Arabidopsis thaliana: one gene and its partner. The protein of the gene in region 2 interacts with the protein of the main gene of each other region in a pairwise test. Each region holds a gene or a part of one and is shown on either strand. Other genes may lie near its edges.

Region 1 (3,757 bases), on a different chromosome or scaffold from region 2:
CAACAATAAATCCAAATATAGAAAACAAGTTTATCTGAAAATAATTGAAAAACATTACACAGCCTCCATCTGTAAAAACCCATATTCTTTTTATGTTTCCAAATCCTTCCTTTCGCCTTCCTTCAGGCATTCAGAATTTCGCATTCTGAAAACAAGCTTTTGAGCAATAGTAGTACTCAATATTTTTTCTAGTAACCTTGAAAAACCTAGGGAACCTACAACGAGAGCCACAATCAGTGCATTTTGGTCTAGAATCGTGATCGTTGAAACCCACTTCAAACTTATTCTCCCTGTTCTTCATTATTATTCCAGGTTTTATGTTCAAAAAGTCCCCGGTTACGCATTCAATATGGCACACGACCCCACAATCATCGCATGTATAGAACCATCTTTCAGGATTGGTTTCGGCTTCACAGATTTCACACCAATATTTACCTTCAGGCGCCTCCTCCCCAGAGCGCAAAACTAAATAATGTGTATCACACCTATGCTTTATGACTAATGGTAGAGTGGCGCATTTGTAATCCAAAGAATAATCACAATCAACACAACGCAGCACATTGAGTTTATTCTCACCGCAAGCTAAGCAAGTACCACGATCTATTGTGGTTAGAAATAACGTGTGAGGATGAAGTTTGGGGTGCTTGAAGAAAGAGAGAGACGCACACAACACATCGAGTACCACACCCTCTTCATCCTTGTAGCTAAAACCCCTTCCATCTCTATTGCAAGCATCACAACTGAAATTTTGTTCGCTAAAATCCTTCCCGAAGCGAAGATAAAATATACCTGTGGAAAGTCCATGTCGTTTCGTAAGAGGAAGATTCGCACACTCTTCGTGAAGAATAAACTTGCATTCCACGCACTTGTAGTGCTTCTCAGAAGAGACTGGACGGGCGCAAGCTTCACAATGCATGTCTTCAGCACCATCTATAAAAACATCCTCAATAAGGAATAAGTTATGTTTCTCGTGGGAGAAATGATAAATTACCCCTTCCTCGATCACTTCAAATGGCGCAACGTCTACTACTTCCTCAGGTATCCCTTCGAGTTCGGTCCCATCCCACACGTCTTTTCTAGTTGCACATTTTGAATGAACAAAAAAATCTGGACATTTGTTGCATGAATAGCCTCCGTACGTGGTGTTGATATCTTGACGACAGATTTCACATACCCAATTCCCACGTTTGAGAGGATATGAATGTGAAATGCGATGATCATGACGATTGATGTTGATGACGTGTGGTAGATCAATACAATCATAATGAAACATGACAGAGCATGGTAGGCATACATAAGGGTTCCGTTCACCATGCGTACCACAAGCATTGCAAGTGAAGGATACTTCCCTTCCCATGAGGGTGAGTGCATGCTCGTGGCACTTTGGATGATCCACTTTGTGGGGCGGGGGCCTGTTTCCGCATTCCATATCTATGCTGAAATTGCATAACTTACAATGGTAAACGAAGTTGGAGAGTTTCCGTTGACAGAGGCTGCACTTCTCGTCAGAGTAACTAGGTGGCCCTTGGAGGAGAACCTCTAGGGGATGGTTCGGGTGACAAGGGTGGTTAATATTCTTCGTTGACCTTGGCACGCAATAGGGATGCCATTTTATATTGCATCTGAAGCATCCATAAAAAACTTCAAAGAAGGGTATAGCACTCCTATGGCACTCTTGGCAAGTGAACATACGATATTTTTCATATAAAGGATGTTCGTGCCAAAAGAGGTCCAGCGTCTTAGCCATGGGCAATGTTAAGAATGGTTGTGGATACGATGAATGAATAAGGATCAGGGAACTTTAAGAAAATTGAAAAGGTTTAACTTCAATTCCTAATTGATCTCTAAATCCTTATATTGTTGACCCGTATCACTACCCACGATCTCCGATATAAATCACTCAAGTTGATCATCGTTAGTTGTACGCAACTAATAGAACTGGTTTAGTCTTTTCTTAAGGCTCAATTTGGGGGGTCCAAGTGTTTATTATATGTCAAAAAAATTATTTAGTTAGTCCGACTAATCTTTCACCGGATTATTAAAATGCGTACTCATCGTTGACTATAGAAATATATATTAAAAAATTGTCTGGTTGATCACATATATATGTTTTGTTATCCGAGTTGATAATATTTTGGAAGGTGTGAGGATGAGCACAAGGGAAACCGCTAGGAGAACAAGAAGCTGTCAGTGAACGCCTTTTCACAGTTCAATGAAGTCTTCACTTGCATAGAAAAGAATATACAGATTCTTATATTTAAGCAACCATTTAACTCTAATATTTTTGTTATGATTGGAACCGAAGTTAATCAAACGACACTAATTAATTTCTAGAACCGAATTTAATCAAACAGAAATTGCTAGTTTTTTTAGATTTAAATTTAATACGAGCAACCGAAAAAACGGAAACGCATCAGGATACATTTTGCAGCTGGTCTCTTAAATGGTTCATAAAGAGTCAAGTATAAAAAGTAAACACCCGAGCTGTTTCTGTATCTATCCACACAGATTTCAACTTCTCTTATTTCATCGTCTATCATTACTGTCTCCACCGCTTCCACCACCGTACTGTGTGGAGTTTCCGTTCCAAAAAGCGTTTCCATCACCAAACGGAGCCTCATCTTCATTGTGATTCAACGTATGGATGTTACTTCCAATCCGAGAAGTGGTTGGTCTCCTATTCCTAACGTTGCTCCTACCTTCTGATGGATCTTGAAAGGACGTCCCTACTTGCCCCAGATTGTTTCTCACCTCCGTATTTGGTCCTATAGATAGAAAAAGAGAGAATCAGATTAGCAATTACACGACTTTCTGCATTAGAATGGATTTTATAAACTCATCATATTCCCGCATACTTGTTTGACGTTCTGGAACAGAGCTTGATGCGTTGGCAGTACCACCGCCAAAATATGAAAACGGGTTTGCATAAGACAGTACTCTTCTAACATAAGCAAAGTAACCGCCACTATTAGGGTCTGTGTTGTTGTTAGACTCCGAGTAAGATGTTCCTCTTTGATAGACGGTTGCTCTTTTTCGCGGAACTACTACAAGTGCTTGTCTATCGAACAATCTCAACTCGGATAGAGACTTATCCAGATCTGCAGAGATTAAGAGTAATGGAGTTATGTATCTACTACACTAGTCCAAACTGACCAGAAAAAAAAAAAAAAAAAACCTAAATGGCAGAAAACATCATCTTCGATCAAGATGAAGCTGGTTTTAAGGTAAAATGTTCTTTACCAAATAAAAATAAAAATCTATTGGATGCATTGTAGATTTTACGTACCTTGGTCAGTATACACCTTACGTGGGTAAGGAACCGCAAGATCATAAGCACCCAGTCCGATTGTTTGATTACTGTTCACATAATCCTTGACCATTCTCAATATACTTGTCACAGAAAACTTCTCCTGAAGGCTACTACCATCAGGTAATCGAATGTTTAAATGAACGTCAGATGCTTTTTTGGATTTTTCTCCATCCTCTTCCTCTCCTCCTTCATCCTTTGGCTTCATGGTCTCTTTTGTATCGACAGATTTTGTTAGATTAATGTCCCTTCCACTAACACCTACACCACTATCCTCTTCATTTATCACAGTTCCCTGTTTCCTTTTTCTATCAACAGAAGATCGAACCCTGGATGTATTATCATTTGTTCCTGGGGCTGTAGGACGAATTGGCTCCTTTTCTGCCTGAACACGCAAAGGGGTCTCTGTCGCTTCATGTTCAACATTGGCCTTAGTTCCATCAACAGAGG
Region 2 (3,757 bases):
TAAGTAAGGAACATTTTAGGTTGACATGTTTGTTCTCAGCTAAACCTATAGCATGTCTAAGGCCATCAATGTTATCTGGTAATATATGTATTTGATTTTCAGTCTTCACATTTTGTTGTTGACTTAATTTATGGCTCTAGATATACAGAGGGTTTTCCGTTCTGGACATCTTCATCCCCAGCCTCGGGTGAGTGTTCAGTAGGATATATGTATCAATCAGTTGTCTTGGATAAAACTTTTCATGTTGATTGCTTTGTATGAATCTTCAGCTTAAAGTATTAATGAGAATATAGACTCCTTTTTCTTATGTGTTATCTGTTCTATCGTATACCCCCAAAATACAGAACTGATTGTGCTATTGACGTTTATATGAAATACAGATTTTATGCTTGCAAGGTTCCCCAGATGGCCCGGAACAGTATGTTTCTTCCTTCATTTTTTTTCTACTTGCAAGATTTTGTCTTGTTTGTCTGGTCTCATTAAAAGGTTTTGTCATTCTTTCAGGTATGTTGCTGTTATGAACTCTATCTTCTCTGCCCAACGCTTGATGGTAATCTTCATTTTGATTGGTTCTTTGGGATTTCCGGTTCTTGATGTTCTCTAAATCCAGTATCATGTACCCAAATCACTTCATCAATTGGTTCTTTAGGTTCCCATTGATTCGTGTTACATAGGTGTACAGAACTCAGCATTTTTGCAGCAGGTAATATCATTTCTCCTTTATACATGATTCTAACTCGTCAAACTGGACCTATGCGTCAGCTGTTATCTCCTGGCTTATTTGTAGGCATCTTATATAACTGGTGGTGTACATCATACACCTAAACAGTTGGATGGGCTATTTCAATATCTAACGGTACGCAACTCAAGTCCAAACGCAAACCATTATGTGACTCGTCTCTCATTTAGCGAACTCAATACTCAATGGCTGCTAACTCTGGATTGTTTTGTTTTGCACAAAAGACAATCTTTGCAACCGATTTGCACTCCCGCGGTTTTGTACAACTTCCTAAACCCATAGGTGTAGATTTTCGCGCATCGTAAGTGATCAAGTCATTAACTCTTCAATTAATCGGGTCTTCCTCTGCATATATAACAGATGGTTTTAAGTACAAAATTTGCAGGTGCTTTTGCCACAAGAAGACAATAGATATGGGCTACATATGCTCAGTGTGTCTGTCCATTTTCTGTGAGCATCACAAGAAATGTTCAACCTGCGGGTAAGAGATTTGACCCGTCATGTTCTTTCTCAAGATAACAATCTATCATGTTGTTTGATACTAATATCGAAAAGCTTTTGGAAATTTGCAGGTCTGTATTTGGTCAGTCTAAACTTGATGATGCTTCATCTGCCTCTGATAAGAAGAGAAAAGCTCCTAGTACCTAAAATCATCTTTTGTGCCAGAGAGAAACTGCAAACTTTGTTTAATTGTGTCTTTGCGTTCATTTTCGATAATTTTTATACCATATATCAAAGTGAAATCAATTTTGCAAAGTTTTTGACTCTTTTTTTTTCCTTGAGATAGTACCCGTTGACTTGAGCAAACAAAACAAAAAGGCCTCTAATAGTCCATATAGAAAGTTGGGCTTCTCTATCGAATTTGAACGAATACGACATTTGGGCTGACGTCATTTATTATTGTCGGATCTATTTCGGGTCCAAACCCGTTTGATGGATCCGTCTCCTACCGAATCACTTCAGACGTGGAGAACGAACGAGACAGAGGGAAGAGAATCATCGGTGTGGCGAGCAATGGATTTGAAGAAACGGCGAAAGGTAAAAAAAATCTCGGAAGTAATGTGTATGTTTCATAGCACTCGAAATTTCGATCTTTGATTTTGTTCGAAATCGATAATTGAGAATTGTCGTGCAGATTTTGGAGAAGAAAAAGACGATTCATGACCTTATAAAAAGAGCTTCTTCCATTGACGATCCTCTTTCTCCGTTTGATTCTTTCCGCCGTTACCGAAGAAACGGTAAATTTGTTCTTCTGCTCAATTTTATTTTCGCCAGTTTCTCAAAAATATGGGATTTTGTTTATGCGAACTGATTATCATTGACAATGATTTGATGCATATAAACTTACTTTTACAATTCCTAATGTTACTACATTATGAAGTAGATGTAGTGTTAGTTGGAATTCGTGCTTTTTAACATGGATTTAATTATCTGTGAATCCCTTACTCATGCAGACTTTGGTAACCTATGATCTAGTGTGCTCTGATTAGTTGTTAGTTAGTTATGATAATGTTTGTGTGAATTTTGTTTTCAGTGCTTACTTGTTTCGTTTTAAGTTCACAGAAGAGTCTTGATGGTTAGCTAATTCTGTGTATGTGTTGTTCTTACGTCTTGTAGACTTATCTTTGTACCTGGAATCTGGCCGTGGAGATAGACTTTCCTCGTCTGTGAAACATCACATTCAAAAACTCTTGAAGGTATTAAAGAGAATGAAGTATCATTAAATTTTCTGAACATACTTTCTTAGAAATTTATTCTAGATTTATTGTTGTACTCAAATTTTTTTACCATTCACAGACGAACATGGAAGGGTTCTATGGGTCTGATTGGCCTATACAAGCAAAGGTGAAGCGTAAGGAGATGTCTTCCGCTGATGCACATTATATCTTTGTGCGTGAGCTGCGTTTTGGTAAAGCCTATGAGACATCTACTCAAAGAACTTGCATGGAAGGGTGTAATCAGATAGCTGGATTTGTGCATTACCGGTTTATTTTAGAGGAAGAGATACCTGTCCTTTATGTGTATGAAATACAGCTGGAATCCCGGGTTCAAGGAAAGGGACTAGGAGAATTTTTAATGCAGTTGATTGAGCTCATTGCTTCTAAGGTTGATTCCAAAATTAGTCTCTTATATTCCTATTTTTCGATATTGATGGCATTAGCTTCTGTTTTCAGATTCATAGCCTGATGATAATATTGTTATGTTCGTTTTCATCTTCTCAGAATCGGATGAGTGCGATCGTGCTAACTGTTCTAACATCTAATGCATTGGCAATGACTTTCTACATGAGCAAGTTAGGGTAAGAGGTACACCTTTTGGAAGATGATCTTATTTCATGTAACAACTCAGATGATATTTTTTGCAAGTGTTCATGGGTTCCTAATATTTCTGTTTCTTGCTGTAGTCAGTCATTTCTATTTCTCGACTCTTTACTGATATTGGCTCGTCCAAACATCTGAATTCCCATTCGTTTTTATACAGATACAGAATATCAAGCATTTCTCCCTCAAAAGCTAATCTTCCGGTACAGAATCAGTAGTCTTATTTTTCATTATTTTGTATAAGGCATTCACTAAAAGAACTTCTACAATTTTTTGTGTTTGCAGACTCTCTCGGTGAAGTATGAGATACTTTGCAAAACTTTTGATTCCGAAGCTAAATCTGTGTTGGAGGTTTGCCCTTTCGCTGCACCACTCACATTTATGACAAAACTGCTGATCTAATATAATATGTGAGTGCTTCTTTTGCTTTTTATCTTGGTATTGTATTATTAAGACTGCTATGATTGCTTTATTTTGCAAGAAGAATGATGAAGAACCTACCAAAGATTGAGTATCAAGCATGGAATAGCACATATAGATTCACTGTAAGTTTCCACTTTGGTCTACTGGAGATATCAGCAATCGTTTATTGTTTAGTTTTCTGAAAAATCTGTTGCTTGAATCTGACAGACCACAGAGGGGTGTGATAAGATGCATTTAGAAAACAGACGAATCCGATGAAGACTTGGTTCCTCCA

The links. The genes of interacting proteins can lie anywhere in the genome.
Region 1: the proteins of AT1G18335 (region 2) and AT2G43220 interact in a two-hybrid assay, tested with the Arabidopsis thaliana proteins (one large-scale study listed by BioGRID).

What each region holds. Positions count from the first base shown.
Region 1 is NC_003071.7:17,962,330-17,966,086, reverse strand, and holds the start of AT2G43220 (Cysteine/Histidine-rich C1 domain family protein), read right to left. Parts: upstream 1,869-3,757; 5' UTR 1,748-1,868; coding exon 131-1,747; 3' UTR 1-130. Other genes in the region: AT2G43210 (Ubiquitin-like superfamily protein), read right to left, coding at 2,527-2,765, 2,856-3,098, 3,287-3,757.
Region 2 is NC_003070.9:6,309,242-6,312,998, reverse strand, and holds the start of AT1G18335 (Acyl-CoA N-acyltransferases (NAT) superfamily protein), read left to right. Parts: upstream 1-1,625; 5' UTR 1,626-1,672; coding exon 1,673-1,777; intron 1,778-1,874; coding exon 1,875-1,977; intron 1,978-2,356; coding exon 2,357-2,436; intron 2,437-2,536; coding exon 2,537-2,845; intron 2,846-2,961; coding exon 2,962-3,038; intron 3,039-3,220; coding exon 3,221-3,263; intron 3,264-3,345; coding exon 3,346-3,462; 3' UTR 3,463-3,470; exon of another isoform or gene 3,471-3,544; coding exon of another isoform or gene 3,545-3,571; 3' UTR 3,572-3,605; intron 3,606-3,690; 3' UTR 3,691-3,757. Other genes in the region: AT1G18340 (basal transcription factor complex subunit-like protein), read left to right, coding at 141-187, 381-418, 505-550, 650-703, 788-856, 964-1,040, 1,125-1,220, 1,312-1,387.